Caenorhabditis elegans: one gene and its partners. The protein of the gene in region 3 interacts with the protein of the main gene of each other region in a biochemical or structural test. Each region holds a gene or a part of one and is shown on either strand. Other genes may lie near its edges.

Region 1 (4,986 bases), on a different chromosome or scaffold from region 3:
CCGACAATTCGCATTAAATCGCATACCAAACTGAGGCGATTCGGACAACGATTGTGTTGATGGTTGTTGGTGTATTGAAAAGCATGAAACTAAGCTGAATGTATTTAACGGAATAGAAAAAGGATTCAACTGGTCGACGAAAAGTTACAGAATGAAAAAGTAAATGTCAAAACTTCAACACTTCAAACCTATGCAAGAGATGACTTTTATATTACTTAAATCGGTTTCCCTTTCAATTGGATCAGATGTGGTAATAAGAAAAAAGTCGTGTTGGCGAACGGAAGATAAAAAAAAACAAGTGTTTTCAAAATGATGATATCACATGTCACATTTTAGCTTTAGAACTCTTTCGGGCCACCGGAAGAGAAATGAACATTAAACACCGGAAGAGAGTAAAGAAAAATTTCGGCGAACCAAACATGTATCCCATTTTGACCGATCAAAAAAAAATGTTTTACTTAAATGAAGCGATTCTCAAAATTTCTAATCAGTTTTTTTTCAAGAATATTTTAAAGAGTATGGCATTATTTGTAGTGGCTGCCACCATAGAATAGTATCTTCTGTCATAAAATACTACAACAACAATCATTGAACAGTCACCGACAGCCTCGCGAAGATGAAAAAATACTTTACAATTGTAGAATAATAACGCTTAACACGTAATACATATCATTATGCATAATGACTTGACGACAGTCTCGATTACACTACAAGAAAAAAAATAACATCTATAACTTTATGCGACTCTACGACGACAACATAGAAAGATGATGGAATTGAAAGAGAAGAAGCCGAGAGAAGCGTACGCTCACACACGCGTTCACTCACACAATTGCGCAATTAATTTAGTTGTAATACGCGTTGCCGACGTGCGCAAGACTATGCAACGATGAGAAGGAAGTGAGTGAAAAGTGAAAAAAAAAAACAAAATTTATAATCGAAAATTAATCGACTGACCAGTTTTTTTTTGGCGATCTTTCCTTCACAGCCACAGATTTTTTTTGATAAAATAATTAAACAAAAATAAAACAGTTGTTGTCTATTATCAACAAAAAATATTCGTGTACGCTAGAGGAGGAACTTTTTTTTACTTTTTAATATTCACGAAGAGCTTTTGGCCAGTGGGTCAAGAAAATAAAAATAGAAGAGAATTAAAATGAAGAAATAAGTCGGAGAATCCAATATAGGGGAAAGCTTGAATGATAAATCGAGGTTAATCGGCAAGGCGCGTACGGCGTACGCACACGAATACTTCGTCTATCTTTCTGTGTCTCTCTTCAAAGGTCAGACTTTCTGTTACGAGAGAAGAAGAAAATGAAGATGATGAGAAAATTGTTTCAATTTCGTGGAGGGCAAAAGTAAGAAGGGGAGAACGCCAATTGGCATCTTCTTTCAATTGACCGATCCACGAAGAGCACTCACTACTATCAATGATATGTGGTGATTAGGTACCGAAAGATAAAAAAGAGAAATTTTTAAACTAAAAGTGGTCGTGAACCTATGGAAAGACTATTTATCATCAGGAATTTGAATTTTTATATTGACTAAACTATTTTATGAAAATGTTTTTGATAATCTTAAAGGAGGATTTCGAAAAATGGGGATACATTTTTAGAAAACTCTGAAAATTCCAATTTACTGAAATACCACGAAAGAAAAAAGAAAAAATTACTAAAGATCAAAAATTCCAACTTTGAAAAGTGTGAATTTACATATCTCGAAGCCACACCCAGTTTCGAACCAATCAGCGTCTTCGTCTGATTGGTAAAAAAGTGGGCGGAGCGAAATGCTGATTGATCGCAGTTTTATTTTTGGAGGAAATTAAAATAGGGAAAAAATTGAAAAAGAGCGTTTTTGAAAATTGGAATTTTTGATCTTTCTTAATTTTTTCTATTTTTCTTTTGGGAAATTTCAGTTTGTAGGCATATTCCGAGTATTCTGGAACTGAATCAAAAATTTACTGATTTTATTTCCATCAAAAATTTACTTGATTGGTATAAATTTTTCCGAATCAATCTCGATCAACTAAAAAAAGCAAGTCATTTTGATCCATCTGAAGGTATCACGCGAGACTAATAATCTCTGATGCATTCCTATCCGTTTCTGATCTTCGACAATCTTAACCAATTCAAACCAGGACCTATCTTAAAATATAATATTTTTATCATTATTTTATGGCGATTGTGATGCGTTGATGTCTGCCTACCTGACTTATGGCCCGGCAGAAAAAAAAAAACAAAACGTGACACTTCAAATCAAAATTAGATGACTTTTTTCTACGCTAAGATACGCTATTGAGGTGTTCTCTCCTTTTCTGACTATCTTTTTTTGGGAAGGTGATGATACAATTGCGTGAGATGCAAAAATTCAAAGAATTCCGTTACTCTCCCCGCAAAAAAACTACAAATTATCAGAACCTAGCCATCATCCATCAAACGGATTGTTGAGATGAAGGGAGAAACCAATTGAATTATATGAAGAATTTCCGTTATCGAGTTTTCTTTTTCAATTTTTTCTAATAAAATCTTAATAGCATTTCCGTTTCTTGAAAATTTTGTTCCGCATTTTTTCATTTCAAACAAAAAAAACTAACTCGTTGATTTGCGGAGATGAACGGAGCCGTCGAAGATTTATGAGCCATCGTAGATGCCATTGATGACGTCGGACGGTATATTGGGGCAGTTGAAACAGTTCGTACAGAATCCGACGAGTGAATCAGAGACACCTGGAATATGAAAAATGGATAATCGTCAAACATCTGCTAATCTAACAGTAGACCTTAAATATTTTTTGAAAAATTTTTATCGACACTGAAATTTTTATTTTTAGATTTTTTTTTAAACAAATTATGATTTCGTCACAGTTCACGTACTTCATGAATCACGTGAATATAAGATTTACAAAAATAGATCAATCCCTTTTTGTAACAATTTGAAAAATAATTAATCTCGATTCTCACCTGTGTGACACCGTTGTTTGCCGGGTACCCTATACCCCCTCCGCTACTGGTCGTGACCATCTCGTTGAGAACTGAGATCTGAAAATGGAGGGAAGATTAGTATAATTTTGTTTGAAAGGATTGAGAGAAAATGACAAAGAGCAAACGTGAATCGTAATACTGAACTTTTCTTTAAAAAATCCAAAATTGTCTAAAATTCAGAAATGCCACAGAAGAAGAACGAATAAAATCGAAGAACAACGAAAAATTGAATTTTTAAATTTTGGCTAAATTCCATGCTTGAATTTCCAAAATGAGAATTTCGACCGTTTTTTTTCGTGAAATTTATGACAATTTTCAATTTTTCAAAATAAAAACAAACTTCTTTTAATTTTTCACATTAACACGGTGGTTTGAAGATATTATAGAACAAAAATAATATTTCACCGCCATTAAAAATGATCAAAGAGGAATTGAACCATTGAAACAGAAAAATCAGGAGAGAGTCCAAAAACATAACAATGAAAATTATCAAGTAGCCGTGTTATTATAGTTTTCTGTATCTAATTACGAATTATTATCATTTCGTAATAATACCGTTTAATCAGTGATAAGGTGTTAATAACTTACATATGAAATTTTGCTGAAACTTCAAACTTGCTGATAAAACGCCTCACATGCTAAAAACGTAAAAAAGAACGAGCCGTAACAAAAATAACGAAGAGAAGGAGGACCTGCGATTGAATGATCAGAGGAGCGCGCGCGCAAGGGAGCGTATGCATGTGTTGGTTCGAAAGATGACGACGAGCCAAAGTAAACACGGCCTCTTAGATATTGGGGTCGTCCCTCTGTGCCTCTCTCTATTCGCTTCGTTTATTATCAACAAACTTTTCTTATTTCTCACAGTCTCGTACCACATATCTTCAAAAAGAGACTTGGCACAATGCCAAAACGGCTTTCGGTGTAGAATGAGAGATACACAGACATTGAAAAAGAGATCGGGGACATCAACCTTGAAATGGATCACCGGTTGATTAACGACCAAAAATAGGAGAAGAACACCGGTAAATGTGGGTTGCTAGTTATGGTCCGTAAAAAGTGAAGTTGCGAAAAATTATTTTTCTGATGATCAAATCGTTGACAATTGAGCGAAAATGGGGGCAGAAGTAGAAGAGTGCATGATGAATAGAGGAAGGAAGAGGTCCACTTGAAATAATTCCGAAAGTGGCCTATTCAGTCGAGAATTGGCTGCTTCGGAAGCAGAACAAGCACAAAAGAGTGGAAGGAAGAGGAGAAAACTCAATTTCGACAAATTCTTTCTCTTGTCACTAACGAAACTCGAATGGTCATCAGGAAACGAAAAGGAAAAAGTAAAAATGTTCCGGTTCTTTTAATTCAGGATTTTATTTTGAGTTTTTAAAATAGGTTCGCGGTAGAGAAAATTTTTTTTAATTGCATCGATTATATAAAATTACAAATCAAGTTTGTCCAAATGAAAAGAACATCATTGTTTTGTTCGCTACAAGGAGAAAACTAGAAGCGAATTGGAGCTTTTGCTCCCGCACATTTCAATTGTTTGAAGTGGGAACAAGAAGAGTGCACTTTCTATTGGAAATGTGCTCAATGATTGTTTTTCTTTGTCAATAACTTAAAAGTAAATTGAAAGCCGTTTAAATATTTTAAGTAAAAATTAAAATTCAGAGTTCCTTATCCAAAATAAACAAAAAAAAGGTAGAAAGAAGGAAGCTGGCTGAACCAATTTCTCATACGGACCGTTCGACCGTTCGGGCGTGTCAACGATGTGAGTACAGGAATGGAGGGACGGAAAAGGTGAGCACGGGAGTGCATTAGAGAGAAGATACGCAGAATGAAAAGGCACATGAGAGACATAGTTGATTGAAGAGACGCAGAGCATAATCGGTTCTGTTGAATACAGGCAAAAGAAAAGGATATTTGTGTGCGTTTGTTGTGAGGGCAAGAAGGTCAGAGGAGAGCGACCGTTATTCTAATGAGAGAGAGTGACTAGGAAGACAGAAGAGACGGAGAGA
Region 2 (6,213 bases), on a different chromosome or scaffold from region 3:
TCTTGAGGTCTCTCAACATCTCGGAGACAATGTCGTCAGATGTATTGCTATGGACGGAACTGAAGGACTTGTCCGTGGACAGCCAGTTGCTGACACCGGAGATCCGATTAAGATCCCAGTCGGACCAGAAACTCTTGGCCGTATCATGAACGTCATTGGAGAGCCAATTGACGAGAGAGGTCCAATTGCATCCAAGAACTTCGCTGCTATCCACGCTGAAGCTCCAGAATTCGTCGAAATGTCCGTCGAGCAGGAGATTCTTGTTACCGGAATCAAGGTCGTCGATCTTCTTGCCCCATACGCCAAGGGAGGAAAGATTGGACTTTTCGGAGGAGCTGGAGTCGGAAAGACTGTGCTTATCATGGAGCTCATTAACAACGTCGCCAAGGCTCACGGAGGTTACTCTGTGTTCGCTGGAGTCGGAGAGCGTACCCGTGAAGGAAACGATCTCTACCACGAAATGATTGAAGGAGGAGTCATTGATCTCAAGGTTAGTAGGAAAAAATGGTTCATGGTATTTAAATAAACAATTTATAGGGAAAGAACTCCAAGGTATCTCTCGTATACGGACAAATGAACGAGCCACCAGGTGCCCGTGCTCGTGTGTGCCTCACCGGTCTCACTGTCGCCGAGTACTTCCGTGACCAGGAAGGACAAGATGTGCTTCTTTTCATTGACAACATTTTCCGTTTCACCCAGGCTGGATCTGAAGTGTCCGCTCTTCTCGGACGTATCCCATCCGCTGTCGGATACCAACCAACCCTTGCCACTGACATGGGAAGTATGCAAGAGAGAATTACCACCACCAAGAAGGGATCCATCACATCCGTCCAGGCTATTTACGTACCTGCTGACGATTTGACTGATCCAGCTCCAGCTACCACATTCGCTCACTTGGACGCCACCACTGTCTTGTCCCGTGGTATTGCCGAATTGGCTATCTACCCAGCTGTCGATCCACTTGACTCCACCTCCCGTATCATGGACCCCAACGTTGTCGGACAGAACCACTACGACATTGCTCGTGGAGTTCAAAAGATCCTCCAAGATTACAAGTCCCTCCAAGATATTATTGCTATTCTTGGTATGGATGAGTTGTCCGAGGAAGACAAGCTTACCGTTTCACGTGCCCGCAAGATCCAACGTTTCCTTTCCCAACCATTCCAAGTCGCTGAGGTGTTCACTGGACATCAAGGAAAGTTCGTATCACTCGAAGAGACAATCCGCGGTTTCACCATGATTCTCAAGGGTAAGAATATTTAAACGTTGAAAACATTAAAATTAAATCAATTTTCAGGAGAACTCGACCACCTTCCAGAAGTTGCTTTCTACATGCAAGGAGGAATCGATGATGTGTTCAAGAAGGCCGAAGAACTCGCCAAGCAACACGGAAATTAGTTTTATTTTTTTTGTTATAACGCCGACACTTCGTTTTTCTTTTTTTCAATGTTTTTTGGTAGAGATAAATTTAATGTATAGTTTATTGTATTGTTGCGGTAGTGCTGTTTCCGTCAGACCACTATTTGGTGACTCCCAATACGTTGTTTTCCATCTCTCACTCTCCCTTCTTCGAATTCAACTACCAACCCAAATGCCCTAAAAGGCAACAAAAATAAAGCAAAAACATTATTTTTTTCACACCCCAAGTTCATTTGACTTCTAGTATATTTTTATCAGAAATAAACAGAAAGCCGATGATAAAACTGCGAGTTTGTTGATCGTCAAATTTCAGGTTAAACGAATGAGTAACAGAACGTATGCCGATAATCTGTTTCCACAACAGGTCGCGGAGCAGCATGAGGAACAGATGTCTTCTGGTTCTTCGCCCAAAAGTAATTCTCCCAGCAGAAGTATAAGCTCTGTTGAGGCAGCGAACTCTAGAATACACATCGGATGGATGGCCACAACCTTGGACGTTGCCGAGAATCTAGACCGTCATGTTGCTACTTTCTGTACACGACTGGGAGAGTTCAAGTATAACTTTGTCGTCTACCCGATTGGAGGGGTCGTTCGCGCATTCTGGACGCCTAATGGAAGGTTCACATCGACTATCTTACCCAACTTCAACTAGACTACTAATTTTCAGCGCGGAGAATCATCCACCTGTTATTGATTTGCCCGATGTTCAGCTGAGAAATGATCTCTGGGAAAGCTATGTTGTAGGAAAAGTATGGGGGGTTTTTTTTTTAATTTTAATTACTTTTTCGAAGAACAAGCCCTTTATTCTTAAATTAAAACCTGAAATTGTCATTTTTTTCAAGATTTCTCCATGGATCGACTGTGACTCTTCTGATCCAGCCTTTGCCTCGCTTTCCGAGGAACATCTTCTGAAAGAGCTCAGCTACATTTGTTATTTGGGTCTTCAAACGATGGCAATCGAGCTCACACGCATCTCGTCGCCTCGTACTGCTGCCATTTTGAAAAAATGGATTTGGACTAGAAATTCGCGTTTTACGTAAGTAAAATGCAATATGAAATAGCTCCTTTTTTTCAGTAAAATATTTTTTAAAAAAGCAAAGTTTATATTTATTTTCAGTGTTTGGGTTCAACTTCCGTCTGCAATTGAAAAGTGCAAAGATTATGACGCTTTCACAATAGAACATGTTGATTTATGGACAATTTGGGCCGATTTCCGGAAGAATTGTGGTAATTTCAGTGGTGTTTATTTCCAAGTGGCTTTGACGATCTCTTCGGAACTTCCCGATGAGCTTACTGAGCTTAAACTTGTGGACCGTTGGAAGGCCGAGCCCCTAGCAGCTTTTGTTATCGAATCGGGTCTTTTTATTTCTGGAAGAAATGGAGAAGCATCAATTCCAAGGTAAATTTCAAGATTACATTTTCAAATAAATACTAATTTTTCAGTGCCCACATAAATTTATTAAAACATCTATGGACAACTGATGCACTTCGGATCGTTCTTCGTGCCACAACGGATACATTCAAGTACAATACTTCTATCAAATCCGAGTATTCTCAAGCTCTTCGTCATGCAGTTCGAAATGTTAATTACCGAAGTCGTCCTGATGTTGGAGAAGGATCGAATGACTCCACTCATTATCTTAATGTTATCGAATACAAAGATGTTTTGCAAGCACCTCTTCAACCATTGTCTGAAAATTTGGATTCAGGAGTTTATAATACATTCGAGCAGGATCAAATTAAATACGACGTGTATGGAGAAGCTGTAGTTGGAGCATTAAAAGATCTTGGAGCTGACGGAAGAAAAACTGTTGTCATTTACTTGTTGGGAGGAGGACGTGGTCCTATTGTGAGTTTTTGGCTATTAAGTAGAAAAAGTCCCTTTTAATTCGACATGAAAACATATTTTGTGGCCAATTGAAAACACTCCACCCCCTGACCATGGGTCTCGTTTGGAAGTTGGCGACAAGCCGGAAATTCAAACATTTTGCAGTTAATTTTGCCAATTGTCTGAAGCGAACTGCAACATTTTTCAATTTACAGTTTTTCGGTCTAAATGAATATCAAAACGGGCATTTTTATGCGTCTCCATAGTTTTAAATATTATAAATTTCAATTTTTTTCAGGGAACGAAAATTCTGAAATCTGAAAGAGAATACAACAACACATTCCGACAAGGCCAAGAAAGTCTCAAAGTGAAGCTTTATATTGTTGAAAAGAATCCAAATGCAATCGTCACTCTGAAATATATGAATGTGAGAACATGGAAACGACGAGTAACGATTATTGAAAGTGATATGCGAAGTCTGCCGGGAATTGCGAAAGATCGTGGATTCGAACAACCTGACATAATTGTTTCGGAACTTCTTGGAAGTTTTGGAGATAACGAGTTGAGTCCTGAATGTCTAGATGGTGTCACTGGATTTTTGAAGCCAACAACAATTTCAATTCCACAGAAGTACACTAGCTATGTGAAGCCAATAATGAGTACTCATATTCATCAAACAATTAAAGCTCAAAGTATTCCTTATTTGAGTCGTGCAATTCCATCGCATGGTAGAGGTGAACCGGAATTGGATGAAGACGAAATGTGGATTCAAAAATACCCGTTTGTTTTTCAATTTTTTTATAAAAATATAAACATTCTGCCTTATTACCCCGATGCCAAATTTTGCTAGTCCCGGTCTCGATTAGACAAAATTTTTAAAATTAAAAAAAAAATTCAAACAAAAATCTTTGTTATATGCGAAAACGTGTGCACCTTTAAACTATACTGTAATCTAAGACTTGTTGCTGCAGAGTTTTTATTAATTTTTTATAGTTTTTTTTGGTTGGCATTTTATTATTTTAGTTTAGTTTTGATAAATTGATATTGATTTTTATTTAAAAAACTATGAAAAATCATGGGATATTGAAATTACAGTACTCTTCAAAGGTACAAAAAGTTTCGTATTAACGAATATTTATCGTGTAGATACCGGGTACCGTAATATTAGAAAAAGTATCGCTAAAATTCATGTTGTGGTAATAAATATTTCTGAAGTTTTCTACTCTTGTGTACATAAAGGCCCTGGCCGAGTACACGGAGGTTTCTAGGCCATCTTTTCTTGACGGGAGTATCCGCTCCACAAGTTATGCTTCAATTTACTCTTATTTTAGAATAATTTTTAATTAAAAAAAAAGCATAAAAACTTTTTTTTTAAATTTTAATAAACATTTTCTTTCAGACAAGGACATGTTCGTAACAATATGGATCAAATCTACGTTGTATATCTTTCAAAATACATTCCACTTGCCGAAACCACCAAACCAGTATTCACATTTGAACATCCAAATTTCATGAATTCAAGCAATGAGAGAAGCGATTCTATTGAATTTGTTATGGATAGAAATGCAGATGTAAGTTTTTCAGCAAAAAAAAAAAAAAAAACTTAGAAATTCTTAAGAAAATTTAAAAATATTTTTTCGTTGATTATTTGAGGTAATTTGCTTATATTAAATGCAAAATTCGCACAAATGACAGTCCACCTTTGAAAATAAAACAATGAATTGAAAAATTTTATTGATAAAATATGTGTTTATTAAATTAAAAATCAAATAAGTTAGAACCTAATTTATTTCAGCTGATGGGATTCGCCGGCTACTTTGATCTTCAACTCTACAAAACCGTGATGCTTTCAATTGAACCATCAACTCATACACCTGGAATGGTCAGTTGGTTCCCAGCTGTTATTCCACTTAGAGATCAATTGAGAGTTGGAGAAGGTGACAGAATTTCTCTGAAAATCGATCGAAAAGTTGACAATACTGGTGTGTGGTACGAATGGCATGTTGAAAAAAAGGTAACAGTTTTTGATAACTTATTAAGATTATAGTTGAGTTTTTTCCAGAAAACCAATGGCGAATCTGTGAGCACCCCGATCCAGAATCCAAATGGAGAGAGCTATTACATGAGAATGTAGTGCCTAGTTTTTCGCTTTTATAATTATTATTTTCCTGTTTTAATCCTAATTGTTGATGTGTTATTCACTTTTGCGCCCCTATTGAATTTCCCAATCATTCCTAGAATTTTTTCCGTTGGTTTTCCCATTTCCTGTTGCCCATTTTCCGGTTCATTAATTTGAAGATTCTTTTTTGCTCCGGTATCTATCGCGATTCGATTGTTGCTCCTTTTAATTCGATATTAATTGTTTAAAAATTCAGTTTTTAAGTTTCCGTTAATTTTCCGAATTAAAGAGCTTGTTTTATTCTGTTGTTTTTTTGTAATTTTGAATTATAGTTATTAGTTTTCATACTAAAACATATTTTTATAGAGATTTTAAAGTTTTCCCAATTATTTTTCATTTAAAAATATTTTCAGAATGTTGATAAACAGTTCTCGTTTATCAATTTCTTCAACGGGACGATGTCTTTTGGCATCTGCCATGTCACAAATGGACGAAGTATTCGGAGTACAGAAGAGACAAATGGGACGACGGCAACCAAAGCAGGGAAAACCACCAATTTTGCCTCCATCGAAGAAAGTGAGTTCTATTGATTTTTTCACTAGAACAAAAATTGGAACATAAAAAAATCCAATTTTTGCCGAAAAAAATGCGCCAGCGGGGCTTTTTCCCAAAATGACAGAAAATGTCTCAATATACCGAATATAACTGTTAGAAAATTTACAGTATTTTTCTAACTCCTTAAAAATGGGTTTTTTCAGTCTTGCAACAAAAAAACGTGCAACTTTTTATTGAAAAATTTAGAAGAATTCTATAAATTTTTAACAGTTTTAAATTTTGTTACTCTTAT
Region 3 (6,773 bases):
GATTCAGGTGGTTGATAGCCAGTCATTGCAAGAATTTGATCCAAATAGAAAACTTTCACATCAAATGCTCGAGATTCAATACGAATCACATCCATTGAATGATTTTCAAAATAATTCGAGAACAATTGCATATTTCCTTCGATCGTTGCTGACATCAGAATGACTTTGAGATCTGGACGCATTTTTAGACATTCACGTAGTGCAATTAGAAGATAATCTGTGTTGATTTCACGTTCGTGGATCTCGTCCATCACAATGTGCGTTATTCCAGAGGCAACTGGGTCAGATGTGAGCATTCTTAGAAGAACACCAGTGGTACAATATGTCAGAACAGTATCGTCGCTTCGTCTGCAAAGAAAAATGAAGTTGAAACAAAGTGATATCGAGAGAAAAGTGTGAATTACCTGCTATCAAGTCTAACTTGATATCCAACAGTGCGTCCAATGGGCTCTCCACGTTCCCTCGCAACTCGTTCAGCAATTGAAATTGCAGCAATACGACGAGGTTGTGTGACCATCACACGAACATGTTTATTATTTTCGTGCGCTTCATCGAGAATGAATTGTGGTACTTGTGTAGTTTTTCCACATCCAGTTCCTCCACTGATGATAACCACATTGCACGAGCTAATAGATTTCAGCACTTGGTCACAATATTTGGAAGCTGGCAGTGAATTTCTGAAATTTTTAATGTTATAGGAGTAACTATTTATACAGTTTTCACAAACCTGACTTTTTGTAACTCTTTTGAGCATTTTGACTTTGGTGGGATCACCATTCTATCACTAATATGCCCCTTCGTGGTGTGCATTTGTTTTGTCTGTGTCTCTGTCAAAAACTCGTCCATTTCTTCTCTGGTGATCGGATGCTTTTCGACAAACTTCGACAGCTTCTGAAGACACTCGAAGGATGGAGTGATTGGCTCAGTTGCAACAAGAGTTGACTTGGATAGTCTGTTCACTCTCTTCGACAGAATCATGTACCGATCTGGCTCTCTTCCATGAGATTTGGTTGTCATTTCATTGAGTAGCGCGACCTCGTGCATCACCTTTCTCTGATCTCTTCCCATAGGTTCAAGTGTCGTGTTCTTTTGTCCACTTTTCAGAAACGAACGAATGATTTCATTCGCCACCCGTCGATACTCTTTGCGAGTGTCATTATCTGTACCTCGTGGCAAGACCCGCGATGCATCAAACCTGAAAATTGTTTACAGTCATTTGATGATTGAAATATAAGATTTTTCAAAAATATTTGTTTTTTTAATATTAATTTTTTTCAAACAGAACTCACCCGTTTCTAGAACAACGTTTGCTATCAACTCCACCCCGAAAGAATCCAGGTGGTTCGTCTGACATTATGCTGCAATTTTATGAGAATATTCAGACGCAACAACAACGTGACAAACGACGAGATAAAAATCTATCAAGGCTGAAACAATGACAAAAAAGAAATCCCGACAAATGAAAATGGCGCCTAAAACAAACTTTTTTAAAGGACGTCGGGTTTCATTCACAGATGGGTCTCGGAACGAAATCATGGAGTACGGTATCACACACTTGAATTTGAAAGTGAACTTCTTTATTTGTTTCTCTTGCAAGTTTAAACTTAAGTTTTTAATTTTTTCTGCTTGTTTCTCAATAAAATAAAAATATTACTTGATTTGTAGCGCAGAATGGAACCCGATGATTCACAACTCAGTGATATTTTGAAAGGTGAAAAGCTAGAAATCTTGAAATATAGATTTCAATTAAATTTGCTTTCAGATGCAAGAATACCCGATTCGCAGGACATCGGCGTAAATTTGACACAAAATCTAAGCTTCGACACTGTCCAGAAAATGATAGTGAGTTTCCGAAAAAAAAAAATCCTAATTTTCAAATAAATAATTTTATCAGGACGGAGTATTCACTCCAATATTCAGTCAAGGGACTGAAGATTCACTGGAAAAAGATATATTAAAGACGCCTGGGTTCGTTTAAAAAAGAAAAATATGATTTATATTTGAAAATTAATTATTCAGAATTTCAACTATCTATAACGGAATACTGGGCAATGGCGAGGAAACCAAGAAAAGAACGCCAAAGATTTCCGATGCTTTCGAACCGGATTTGAATACTTCTGGAGATGTATTCGACAGTGATAAATCAGAAGATGGTTTAATGAATGATGAATCATATCTATCGGTTAGTAAATGAAATAGGAAGTGAAGAATGCAATGAAAAGGCATAAAAAACTAATTGAAGACAGTTGAACTCTTCTACTTTTGCAAATTATCAAAATACAATCATTAAATAATCCAAAGCTTCAGAATACAACGTTGTCGCAAGTTGTGCTCGACTCCCAAAAGTATGAATATCTTCGAGTACGTACAGAGGAAGAACAGCAACTTGTAATTGAGAAGGTGAGTATTATTGAAATTATATCTATAGAGAATCTAATTTCCAGCGTGCCAGAGAACGATTTATTCGAAAATCGATGAAAATCGCGGAAGAAACAGCATTATCCTATGAAAATGACGGATCGAGAGAGCTTTCTGAAACTATGACACAGAAGGTTACACAAATGGATTTTACGGAAACAAATGTGCCTTTTGATGGAAATGATGAGTGAGGAGTTTTGTATTTTTCGGATTTAGTGGAAATTTTCAATTAAAACAAATATATATTTAAAGGTGGACTGTTGCTTTGAAATCAAGACTGCCGCTGAAAGTTTAATATATATTTTTTGAGCAAAACCGAAAAAAATCCAACTTTTATTTTCTGGATTTGTTTTTTGGGTTTGGAGTATTTTTAAGAAAAACTCTCATTCACCCTATTTCACGGTATTTTCAGATCATCGAATTTGGCTGTAAGAGTTCAATCAGATATGAATTTGAATGAAGATTGTGAAAAATGGATGGAAATTGACGTTCTTAAACAGAAAGTGGCAAAAAGTTCAGATATGGCATTTGCAATTTCATCGGAACACGAAAAATATCTTTGGACTAAAATGGGATGTCTAGTGCCGATTCAAGTGAAATGGAAATTGGATAAACGTCATTTTAACAGTAATTTATCACTTAGAATCAGGGTGAGTTGGCGTTAGGATCAAGGGTGTCAATGTCCCGTGAAAATTTCAAAAACGGGACAACGGGACGTCCCGTTTTTTTGAAAACACTCAAAAAACGGGGCAAACGGGGCGGTTAAAAAAAAGAGTGCATAGTTGGCGTAAATTTTAGTGTATTCGAGGCAAACTATTAAAAGAAACTGCATGTAAGTCATTAATCTGCATGAATTTAAGTCTTGAAACAAAACTCAAAAACAGAACTTTAAAATGTGCAACAAAATCATGAGAGAAATTGTCCCGTTCCCGTGATAATTTTAACAACGGGACAACGGGACGTCCCGTTCCCGTGAAAACACTCAAAAAACGGGACAACGGGACATGGGACTTGACACCCTTGGTTAGGATGTAAATGTTTTCACTTTTTGAAAAAAAATCTCTGAGACTACCGTAATACGAAATAAACATTTATTTTGTGCAAAAAATTCAAATTGAGAAAAGAGGCACTAAGTTTGTAAACATTTTCAGTTTGTGAAATACGACAAAAAAGAAAATGTCGAATATGCGATTCGAAATCCAAGAAGTGATGTGATGAAGTGTCGAAGTCATACTGAACGAGAACAACATTTTCCATTTGATTCATTTTTCTACATTAGAAATTCAGAACACGAATTTTCATATAGTGCGGAAAAAGGTAACGTTCGAAATATGAATATAACGGCGAATTCTACAAAATTTTGGTATTATCCAAACATGAAATATTGTGATTTTTGCACCACAAGTACGGTAGTCTCGACACGACAAATTTTTGTTAACTGTAAAATGGAATGCACCTTTAAAGAGTACCGTAATTTTTTGAAGCTGTTTGTTGCGGATTTTTCATAGTTTTTCGATGAAAATTTATTTGGAAACTCAAATAAAACAACAAAAATAACATTAAATTTTTTAAAATGTAATTAAATGGAAAATCGCAATTTTTGAGAAAATCGGCAAATAATTCCGATGGAACATTTTAAAGTCAATTTTTAAACATTTTTTTCAAAATTTTCAGATCAGGCGAATAACTTTCTTAAATATTTTAACACTATTCTAGTTGAATCAACATGTTCAAAATTATTGCATAATAAATAATTTTCAGGAAGTACATTTACATTGATAATGTATCCAGGCGCAGTTCAGGCGAATTTTGATATAATCTTCATGTGTCAAGAGAAGTGCCTTGATTTGGATGATCGACGAAAAACGATGTGCCTTGCGGTCTTTTTGGACGATGAAAATGGGTAAATTCAGACATAATTTCAAATTTGAAAAAAGAATACTGAAAAAGCTTTCTACTACTGTCCTACTGTTGAAGAAATATGCCTTCCTCTATTCACTTGAAACAGTGTTTCTTTTCTACTTAACAAAAAGTCAAAGATTACTTTCAAATAATCAAAATAATTTAAAATATTTATTCCAAAATAGTTTAAAAACGACATCTACTGTTCTTACTATTTCCAGATAGGGGGTCGTGTAAGAGAAATGTAAAAATTCTAGGCCAGTCTGGAGTCATTTAAAAACGCGGCAATGTTTACCGCGTTTCAAATCAATTTTTTGCTAATTTTTTAATAACACTTATTGCTTGATCTTTATTCATAATCAAATACATTTGTGAATTGTTGATCTTTTTTTTTGAACATTTGTTTTCACTCTTTGAATTGGTTCTTTTGAAAAAGCTCTTTATAATCGAGTAAAATTAATAGTGAAAATCTCTCTTTAAACATTTTAATATACTAAATAAAAACCATTTCAGAAACGAAATTCTCCACGCATACATCAAACAAGTTCGAATTGTTGCCTATCCACGACGTGACTGGAAGAATTTCTGTGAGCGAGAAGACGCAAAACAAAAGGATTTCAGATTTCCCGAGTTACCTGCCTACAAGAAGGCGAGCCTAGAATCGATAAATATCAAACAAGAGGTCAATCTAGAGAACATGTTCAACGTGACCAATACTACTGCACAGGTTTGTCTAGAATATGATTTAAAAGAATTTGGAAAATAGTAAATAACTTCAATTTCCAAAATCATGCCTTGTAGAAATATCAATTTTCTGCCAGAAGAATATACCATATTTATCATGATTCTTTTCAATTTTCTATAGAAAAACGTTTTCTTCTTGTTTCCGTCGAATGAACAAAAACTGAATTGAAATTCGATATCTTATCTCCCAATGACTTCCTTTATGCGTAATGTTTGCTCGACCACAAAGCTTTGAAATGTTTTATTTCGATCTAATTTTTTAAATATATATGCTCTAATTCCCAAGACATTCAATTATTTTCTCAACGCAATATGAAATAAGATTTTAAATTTACAGATGGAACCATCAACTTCATATTCATCTCCATCAAACAGTAATAATCGGAAGAGATTTTTGAATGAGTGTGATTCTCCAAATAATGATTATACAATGATGCACAGAACTCCACCAGTAACAGGTTATGCAAGTCGTCTTCATGGATGCGTTCCTCCGATTGAAACTGAACACGAAAACTGTCAATCTCCGTCGATGAAGAGAAGTCGCTGTACCAATTATTCGTTTAGAACGCTCACTGTAAGTATTTTTAGCTCACTCTTAAAGCAATATTATAATTAATTTTGATTCACAATAAATTTCAGCTGTCGACTGCTGAGTATACAAAAGTCGTCGAATTTCTGGCACGCGAAGCAAAAGTTCCCAGATACACTTGGGTTCCGACGCAAGTAGTCTCCCATATATTGCCAACTGAAGGACTTGAAAGGTATTTATAAAGATTTATAAAGATTGCCGTAATTTCTTTTTTTTGAAGATTCCTCACCGCTATAAAAGCAGGGCACGATTCAGTGTTGTTCAATGCAAACGGAATTTATACAATGGGGGATATGATTAGAGAATTCGAGAAACATAATGACATCTTCGAAAGAATTGGTATCGATTCTTCGAAATTGTCGAAATACTACGAAGCGTTTCTCAGCTTTTACCGCATCCAGGAAGCGATGAAACTGCCAAAGTAAAAATCATATCACCACCTGGTTTAATCGCCTAATTTGTTTTCACAATATTCATCCTTTTCAAAGCACCGCATTTCTCACTAGATACTCAAACTGACATTTGTTCCTTTTTATAATCGCATTTTTTCGTAATAAAGTTTGTTCGTTTTATCAATTCAAAACTAATTTTAGACAGTCCGGCTACGAATGATGTTTACGGAGACAAAACGAGTCTGTCGACGAACATAAATCGACTCAGAATGAGAATGTCACCGAGACTTGAAGAGGTATTTGATACTACAATAAAATCTGCTTCCTTTTTGAATCAAATCTGCACGTTGCAATCGAATCGATTGCTTCCCACAAAGCTCAACTACGTTTAATGAATATCTTCATCATAACGGTAACGAACAATGAACAACAAATAGATTTAGATGAATCCGATCTTGTTGGCAACATCAAGAGCATCGTAGTCCGAAGCCAATCGAACGTAAGCTTTCTTCTGTTGGAGTGGAGTAATCAGGGTGTTGACCTGTAAATTTGAAATATTACGTGAACTGATAATTAGGAACATACCTTAACAGCCTTGACGTTGTAAAGGGCATGGACGGCTCTCTTGATGTGATGCTTGTTGGCCTTCTCGTCAACAATGAAGACAAGGGTGTTGTGGTCTTCGATCTTCTTCATGGAGCTCTCGGTGGTGTGTGGAGCCTTGATGA

What was found. Proteins that work in one complex are often made in the same cells at the same time.
Region 1: of the proteins of cep-1 (region 3) and ape-1, one has a biochemical effect on the other in vitro, tested with the Caenorhabditis elegans proteins (one study listed by BioGRID).
Region 2: the proteins of cep-1 (region 3) and prmt-5 form a complex in vitro, tested with the Caenorhabditis elegans proteins (one study listed by BioGRID).

What each region holds. Positions count from the first base shown.
Region 1 is NC_003283.11:11,673,995-11,678,980, reverse strand, and holds the start of ape-1 (Apoptotic enhancer 1 protein), read right to left. Parts: upstream 3,044-4,986; 5' UTR 3,020-3,043; coding exon 2,960-3,019; intron 2,726-2,959; coding exon 2,594-2,725; intron 987-2,593; exon of another isoform or gene 782-986; intron 1-781. UniProt on the Caenorhabditis elegans protein: Negetively regulates apoptosis via its interaction with cep-1.
Region 2 is NC_003281.10:5,228,838-5,235,050, forward strand, and holds prmt-5 (Protein arginine N-methyltransferase 5), read left to right. Parts: upstream 1-1,717; 5' UTR 1,718-1,741; coding exon 1,742-2,037; intron 2,038-2,086; coding exon 2,087-2,168; intron 2,169-2,261; coding exon 2,262-2,455; intron 2,456-2,536; coding exon 2,537-2,818; intron 2,819-2,862; coding exon 2,863-3,268; intron 3,269-3,545; coding exon 3,546-4,027; intron 4,028-4,646; coding exon 4,647-4,818; intron 4,819-5,042; coding exon 5,043-5,261; intron 5,262-5,309; coding exon 5,310-5,381; 3' UTR 5,382-5,670; downstream 5,671-6,213. Other genes in the region: atp-2 (ATP synthase subunit beta, mitochondrial), read left to right, coding at 1-490, 538-1,249, 1,298-1,398; mrps-26 (Small ribosomal subunit protein mS26), read left to right, coding at 5,781-5,942. UniProt on the Caenorhabditis elegans protein: Catalyzes the symmetrical dimethylation of arginine residues in targets such as small nuclear ribonucleoproteins, histone H2A/H4 and cbp-1.
Region 3 is NC_003279.8:8,322,630-8,329,402, forward strand, and holds cep-1 (Transcription factor cep-1), read left to right. Parts: upstream 1-1,665; 5' UTR 1,666-1,671; coding exon 1,672-1,711; intron 1,712-1,762; coding exon 1,763-1,842; intron 1,843-1,894; coding exon 1,895-1,968; intron 1,969-2,019; coding exon 2,020-2,182; intron 2,183-2,307; coding exon 2,308-2,400; intron 2,401-2,444; coding exon 2,445-2,605; intron 2,606-2,830; coding exon 2,831-3,068; intron 3,069-3,569; coding exon 3,570-3,735; intron 3,736-4,179; coding exon 4,180-4,321; intron 4,322-4,833; coding exon 4,834-5,047; intron 5,048-5,401; coding exon 5,402-5,638; intron 5,639-5,703; coding exon 5,704-5,825; intron 5,826-5,873; coding exon 5,874-6,078; 3' UTR 6,079-6,230; downstream 6,231-6,773. Other genes in the region: ythc-2 (putative ATP-dependent RNA helicase spindle-E), read right to left, coding at 1-348, 405-677, 728-1,195, 1,290-1,354; rpl-23A.2 (Large ribosomal subunit protein uL23B), read right to left, coding at 6,485-6,586, 6,631-6,773. UniProt on the Caenorhabditis elegans protein: Transcriptional activator that binds the same DNA consensus sequence as p53. Has a role in normal development to ensure proper meiotic chromosome segregation.